Linked DNA regions of Rattus norvegicus. The protein of the gene in region 2 interacts with the protein of the main gene of each other region in a pairwise test. Links are inferred from orthologs where the notes say so. Each region holds a gene or a part of one and is shown on either strand. Other genes may lie near its edges.

The links.
Region 1: the proteins of Phaf1 (region 2) and Bcas3 interact in binary tests that used the Homo sapiens proteins (3 or more experiments, as listed by UniProt). The link is inferred for Rattus norvegicus from reciprocal best matches to the Homo sapiens genes PHAF1 and BCAS3.

What each region holds. Positions count from the first base shown.
Region 1 is NC_086028.1:70,710,262-70,714,334, forward strand, and holds the start of Bcas3 (BCAS3 microtubule associated cell migration factor), read left to right. Parts: upstream 1-1,263; 5' UTR 1,264-1,301; intron 1,302-2,658; exon of another isoform or gene 2,659-2,706; 5' UTR 2,707-2,796; intron 2,797-3,021; 5' UTR 3,022-3,026; coding exon 3,027-3,109; intron 3,110-4,073. UniProt on the Homo sapiens protein: Plays a role in angiogenesis. Participates in the regulation of cell polarity and directional endothelial cell migration by mediating both the activation and recruitment of CDC42 and the reorganization of the actin cytoskeleton at the cell leading edge.
Region 2 is NC_086037.1:50,024,932-50,028,444, forward strand, and holds part of Phaf1 (phagosome assembly factor 1), read left to right. Parts: exon of another isoform or gene 1-168; coding exon of another isoform or gene 169-204; intron 205-551; coding exon 552-595; intron 596-1,445; coding exon 1,446-1,525; intron 1,526-1,763; coding exon 1,764-1,858; intron 1,859-2,490; coding exon 2,491-2,588; intron 2,589-2,668; coding exon 2,669-2,781; intron 2,782-3,513. UniProt on the Homo sapiens protein: Plays a regulatory role in autophagic activity. In complex with BCAS3, associates with the autophagosome formation site during both non-selective and selective autophagy.

The DNA of each region.
Region 1 (4,073 bases), on a different chromosome or scaffold from region 2:
TGGCTTCCCTCAGTCGACTTCGGAGTTGCTTTTGGTCTTGATGTTTCATCACAGAAATTGTAACCCTAACTAAGACATATATGGCCATAGAAATGACTTTTTTGGCCTTGGCCATGACCTCCTGTCCCAATTCTTGACACTAACCTGTATGATAGGCAAATGTCCTTTTACTTATTCCTTGTTGGTCATACCTAGCTGCCTATTTCACATCTAGGCAGGAACATCATGTCTAAATTCTAGGCCCATTTATGATTTTTAAGATCATACTTTATTATAAAGATTTCTTTAGGGAGGATTAATGTTCTCAAACTTGCTGGCACTGGGCTGTCTTAGAACTTGCTATATAGACCAGTGTTGGCCTACCGGAATACCATAAAAAGAGATTTAGGCACAGGGTTAATAGATGCTCAGGGGAAAGATAAGGTAAAGCTGCGAGTGTGCGTGTAGGTTTCTCGAGCAAGAGCTCTAGTCTATGACTAGAGGAGACAGACTCCAGGGCCCCTTAAAATCTTCCCCATGCCATCGTGCAAAGCCTCAGAGTCTTCTTAGAATTATGGATCCCTGTATTGCCCAACAAGGCCTCTCTATTTCCAGATGTTCATGAACATCCATTCCTACAACAGTAACCATTAAGGACCCCAACAAGATTTCTTACAGGCCCCTTATTTAGATAAACTTGGCAGCAGGACTGAACACGGACTGCCAACCTAGACTCCCGGAAGGTAAACACAATGTCGTGGGCGGGACGGAGGGCGGGCTTGGGCAGTCTGAGTGGTCTGGTAAAAGTGATTGGCAGCTGCCACATCCACGTGCTTTTAGCTTCGAATCAGCTGTCGCGAGAATTCGATGTAAACACACCAGTGTGCCTGGCTTCGGGCTCCTCGCTGGAGAGTCCTGGCTGAGGTCCGCAGATGTTTGGTGCATGTTGAGTTCTCTTAAAACAGAAAATCCACCAGGGTGCTTCTTCCAGGCCCGTAGACACGCCTGCCTTTTCTTCCCTACTGCCTGTATTCACAACCGAACCTGACCCACCGCTTCACCCGAACTTCCATACTGTTGTGTTTTCCCTCCAGCCCCAGCGGATTGGATGGATTCTGAAGGCGGGTCCGCCTCTTTTCTACATGCTGGTTGGCGAAGCTGACCTCCAAGGGCGGTGCCGCGCCGGGGCCAGTTTGCTCCTGGGATTGGCTGACGTGGTGGTTCCGCCGAGGCGTGGTAGGAAGTGGTAGCCGTCAATCACGAGGGAGACTCCAAACAGTGAGCCTGGAGCTGGAGAACAGCGTTTACCGGCGGAGCGGCCGGTGAGAGGGCTGGCGGGTCTTTGGCTTGGGGGAGGTTTGGAGAAGGAGAGGGACAAGCAGCATAAGGGAACAGGGCTTGACCAGCCCCAATTGACAGGGAAAGGTGCTGAAACTGGAGGAGAGCTGGGCAAGAGGCCAGAGGGCGGCCGGGGGCAGTGGTGGTAGGGCTTTGGAGGTGAAGTGTGGAGTGTTGTTCTCATGACTTTGGGGGAGAGTGGGGCCCGAGGGGCTTTCGAGGAGCTGTTCTCAGGTGACAAGGCCTTTAAAGGACAGAGGTGGGGAGACTGGTTTGGGTAATAGAGGGTGGAATGAAGATTAGAGCACTGAGGGGGTCTGGTGGAAGGTACTGTCTAAGAATGGGGTAGTTGGACTAGTTGGGACAGTGGTGTTTGGGTTGTGTAGGAATGTGGGGATCATCAGTTTGGGAGTTTTCATGTGAGGTGGCACTGTGAACCCTTCTTAAAAGTGCTGCTTTTAGGCTATGGGGCTTTCCTGAACCTTGTAAGAAATCCTTGGTCCTGTTGTCAGTCCCTCTTTAACCTTAATCGAGTAGACTCTGTATTCTCCAAACCTCCTCTGTGATTCAGAAGCTCATTAGATAATCAAGGACCAGGACTTACTTGGACCATGGAAAAAGCCAGGGACTCCTTATATCTTATGAGTTTATATTCTGTATTTGTTTACACGCTGGTGATTACGTTACAGTAGCTGGAGGTAAAATATTATTTAAATGCAGCCACACAGTTTTACTAATTGTCATTAGCAGATTTATCTGAAGGCAGAGTGGTATCGTTGTTTGTTTTTAGGCTCACATGGGCCATCTGGCCTTTACATTGGTGGCTGCGCCCTTAAGGTTGGCTTTGAGTGCCTGATCCTCCTGACTCCTCTCAGGTGTTCATATGCATCACCACCTGTGGCTAGCAGCTGCTGCTGCTGCTGCTTCTGCTTCTGCTGCTTCTTCTTCTTCTTCTTCTTCCTCTTCCTCCTCCTCCTCTTCCTCTTCCTCCTCCTCCTCCTCCTCCTCCTCCTCTTCCTCCTCCTCCTCTTCCTCCTCCTCCTCCTCCTCCTCCTCCTCTTCCTCCTCCTCCTCTTCCTCCTTCTCTTCCTCCTCCTATCATCATCATCATCATTTTTTTTTTGGTTCTTTTTTTCGGAGCTGGGGACCGAACCCAGGGCCTTGTGCTTCCTAGGTAAGCGCTCTACCACTGAGCTAAATCCCCAGCCTATTTTTTAAGGTAATACTAAGAGTCTCAGGCTCACATTGCCCTTGAACTCATGGCAGTTCCCTTGCTTTACCCTCCTGGGTATGTTGCTGGTATGTTATGTCACAGTGAGCTTCATATTTGTTTTTCTAAGTGACCCTGTGTTACCTAGTTCCCGTTTAATCCTCCTCTTATTTTTCTAGTTTTAAATTATAGGAAGAAAGATTCAGCAAAAGAGTGAACTGTTCTCACTTTCAGATGTTAGGCAGTTCAAGGCCAGCCTCAATTACAGGGTAAGACCCTATCTTAAAAGAAAAGAAATTTCCTGGGTGTAGCGGTACACACCTATAATCTTATCAGTCTGGCACTCAGGTCTCTAGGAGTTCTAGGCCAGCTGGAGCTAAATAGTGAGTTTCTGGGAAAATCCATGGTTTGGGAAAGGGATATTTAGTGAATACGCATGAAACGCTCTTTCCTGACACTAATGGTGGGTTTTTTTTCTTCTATTCTGGAAACAGGTCTTATGAATGAAACCATGGCTACAGATTCTCCTAGAAGACCCAGTCGCTGCACTGGTGGAGTTGTGGTCCGCCCTCAGGCCGTCACGTAAGCGGAAGAAAACAGTTTTCTAGAAAACAGTTCCCACTCAGAATATCTGTTTGAGCTGGGTGGTGGTGGTAGTTCAGGCCTTTAATCCCAGCAATTGGGAGGCAGAAGCAGGAAGATCTCCGAGTTTGAGGCCCGCTTGGTCTACAGAACAAGTCCCAGGACAGCCAGAGCTACACAGAGAAACCGTGTCTGAAAACAAACAGCTCCTCCTCCAAAACTTCCAGAACATCCATTGGATAGTGCTTGCTTCTATAAACATTTTTTACTTTTTGGCTATGCAGGTGAAATGAATGTCACTGTCAAGGGCAAATAAACAATTGGAGGGTTAAGCTGATGTATTCGACCTACATCTATACATGGGGGTGACTGTGAGGACTTGGGGTGCATCTCAGTGCTAGAGCACTTGCCTAACTTGTGGAAGGCACTGAGTGTGGTTCCTAGCATCACCAAAAAGGTAAAGTCTAAAGGAGTTAAAAACTTACAGTTCCACGAGTTAGTGGATCATTCAGTTAGTTGTGATGGCCTTGATCAGTATCTGAAATAGAAGGAAATAGGAATTGGGAGTATGAGTCAGAGTTTGAGTGTTCAAATCCTGGGTTCCATCTCTAGTACCACAGACAGACACAGACACCTACAACACAACAGGAAGTTAGATATTTGTTGTGTGTTGAGTTATATTTATACATTTGTACTTACGTATATGATTACTTAACTGTGTTGTAAAAGGATCTCCCGGTCTCAATATAAATCTTACAAAGAGGGCATTTCTGTATTTTATGTATTCTATGACAGTACAGCCATACTTTTTTGGACTTTATGAACCATCATGGTTTAAAGAAATATATACTTGAAATTATTGTAATCTGTACGAAAGAGAAATGCCAGCCAACCAGCATGTGTATTTAGAGAGGGTGTTTTAGTGGTAGTGAGGCGTCACAAGAAGGTGACATTTTGGGGGTTG
Region 2 (3,513 bases):
GTCCTCATAACTTAAGTGACCCTCCTTCCTACCTCAGCCTCCTGAGTGCAGACTGCAAATGTGCAACACCACATGTGGCTTTTCCCTCCCCAAATTTAGAATAAGCACAGAAGATAGCAAGAGGTTCTTGAGGAGTCTTTTGGAGTCTGAGACACTGGGATTGACACTATGTTATTGCTAATTGTATCCTTGAATTGGCTTTTGGTGAGTGTATTTTATTTGAGTTAGGGTCTCAAGTAGCTCAAGCAGGCCTTGAACTCTTTTTCTTTTTTTAAGATTTATTTATTTATTTTATGTATATGAGTACACTGTTGCTGTCTTCAGACACACCAGAAGAGGGCATCTGATCCCATTACAGATGGTTATGAGCCACCATGTAGTTGCTGGGATTTGAACTCAGGACTTCTAGAAGAGCAGTCAGTGCTCTTAACCGCTGAGCCATCTCTCCAGCCCAGCCTTGAACTCTTGATCCTATTGCTACAGCCTCTTAACTCTGTCTTTGTAACAACTTCAACAATTATGGTACCTAAACAATTTCTTCTATTTTTTAGGTGATTGAAGTTTATGACTTAACAAAAGTAAAGTTAAAGTATTGGTAAGTTTTCTCCCTTACTGGTATATGTTATATGTGGTACAGACCAGCTTTATCTACTGCCTTCATTAAAGTACTAAAGGATTACAAAAAGTAAAAAAAGTACAAAAAGTAAAGTACTAAAGCTTACCCAGCATATGAGTGACCTTGGGTTCATTCCTTACTACTGCAGCAACAAAAAAGACTGTCCCTTCCAGTGAGCCCATATTGAGAGCATGACAAGGACCCACTTCCTGGGGCAGTTCTGGAAGTATTTGTTAGTATAGGAGTGGACAAATATGTAATGACACTAGATCCGTTTGTCCTTTCAGTGTTACTCAATAGAACCTTTTTACCTCAAGGTCTGTCTTCTTTGTCCTTTTATTTTGGGCCAAAACGGCATTGGGAAGCCCCAGAAAGTTGACTCCATATAGGGGCTTCCAAGAATTGACCTATTTCTCACCTAATTAACTAATTCCCCTTATTTATAATTTATTTAATTTTAAATTTATTTGTTTATTTATTGTGAGACAAGGTCTCACTATGTCGCTTTGGGTAGCCTGGAACCTGGCTGGCCTTTAACTCAGTGATATCTGCCTCCCAAGTGCTAACAAGGTGCAGACCACCATGCCTTGTCATTTTCTTTTTATATAATGTGTTTTAAGAATAACTCTATGCTGAATACAGTGGCACAAGCTGGCAATCCCAATGCCTAAGAGGCCTAGATAGGAGGACTGTGGTATTTTCAAAGCTAGCCAGGGTACATAGCAAGATTCTATTACCTAATAAACAATAACATCCAGCCAGCCACCTTTCCTCATGATCTAAGACCATCTTGTTAAACCTGATATTAAAAAGTAATTGTATTTTTCAGTGGAGTGCATTTTAACTCTCAGGCCATCGCTCCTACCATTGAGCAAATTGACCAGTCTTTTGGTGCAACCCATCCAGGAGGTAAGCCAAACACATCTGATTCCTCTGGTCAGCCCATAGCAATAAACCTGTGGGTGGTGCCATCTCTCCTCATCTCAGGTCCTTGGATAGGTGTATAGCATCTCAGACCCTTGTTTTCATCCTATGTCAGTTGAGAAATTAGACAAAAGCAATTTCCCTACTGGAGTCATTGCTGCCTGCCAAGCTGGTTTATGTTGGAAAGCAGCTACCAGTCAGCTGTGTCATTTTTACTCCACAGTGTACAACTCTGCTGAGCAGCTCTTCCACCTCAACTTCAGAGGACTGTCTTTCTCTTTTCAGTTAGACTCATGGACGGAGGCTCCCAAGTATGAGGTCAGCACTTCTGGGTCCTTGTGGGTTGTTTTTTTTTTTTCCAGTGTCCATGTGGGATAGGGGAATGGGTAGGACACCTTTCTTTGGTTACCTCGGCTTTGAGTTCTTTAATGGTCAAGAGAGAGAATGGGTAGAGTTCACAGGAAGAACAAGGCTGTAACATGACTAGGAAGAGCGCATTTGGCACTGTAGAGGCCGGTAAGGCTCTCACCTTGTCAGCGGTATCTCCAGCCATTTTCTAACTGCGACATCCTAAACAGTTTGAAGAGTCCATTCTCTGGATCTTCAGTTACTTGTTACTGCAAAAGTTTAACAAGCCAGAAATGATGACACACACTTGTAATTCCAGAATTTAGGAGACTGAAGCAGAAAGATTTCTGGTTCAAGGCCAGCCTGAATTAATTAGTAAGCCCTGTCTCAAAAGACAGGAAGGGAAGAAGGCAGACAGGCAATAAAACTCAAAGATGAAAGATGCACTTGCTTATTTAAAGTAACTTAGTTGACTCAGAACCAAGTTTGATTGTGTGCTTTGACCAGACCAGTTCTTAATGACCGTGAGTGCCAGGGAATATTAGACACTGAATCATGTGATTTATATAATGTTTGTAGTAAAATTCTTGTCTTACTTGCAGCCCAATTTTGCCCATGGTCTAGCTTCTCTTCAGATACCCCATGGAGCAACTGTAAAACGAATGTACATCTATAGTGGAAACAGCCTCCAGGATACCAAGTGAGTGTGAGGAACATGAGCTTTGTGCCCATGGCCTTGCTGGAAGGGAGGCCCATGCCTTGTTCCTTCTGTGCCTCCAGGGCTCCTATGATGCCCCTGAGCTGTTTCCTGGGGAATGTATATGCTGAAAGTGTAGACGTTCTTCGAGACGGAACTGGACCCTCAGGGTTGCGACTTCGCTTGCTCGCTGCAGGTAGGTTCCCCACCGTATCTATCTATGTAGAAACTACTCTACCACCTGAAGTACATGTTGAGTGCTCATTCCTGGTTTGTAGGCGTGTTTATTATTACTTGGAAAGGGCCCATGTTTCAGGGGTTTCCTTGTATGGACACTAATTCTAATTGTAAGATCTCTACCTCCCAAAAAGCAAAGGTTCCTAATACCTTAACTAGTTCAGATTTGTCCAAGAGGTGGTGGCACATGCCTTTAATCCAAATAGACGTAGGCAGGCTTCCAGTGAGTTCCAGGACAGCCAGGACTACACAGAGAAACCCTTGTTGCTGTGAATTCTATTAATAACTATTTGTTCTTAATATGACCTGGCCAGGTCCCCAATAATTGAGACTGAGTCCCACTGATTTATTTAATCAGCTTTAGCACAATTTTACTGGCCAATTACCCTAATATATTACACTAGACTGGCTATTTCCTAGCTGTGCTCCCCAAGTTACTTGCTGTTTTGAGTTTAGCTTGGGCTGTTTGGAGCAGTCTGTCGTCAGGGTGCACTTCCCCCAGCCATATGATCCTACCCCATCCCATCTAATGGAGACAGACCTCTTTCTTGGTCTCTCCTTTCTTCTTCTCTCTCCTTCTTCCTCTCTTTGTGGTCCCTACTTCGAACCCCCAGCTCAGTAACTGAAACCCAACCTACCTCTGTAATTCCAAGTAAGTGACTATAGCCACTTTTATTTAACTAGTCAGAAA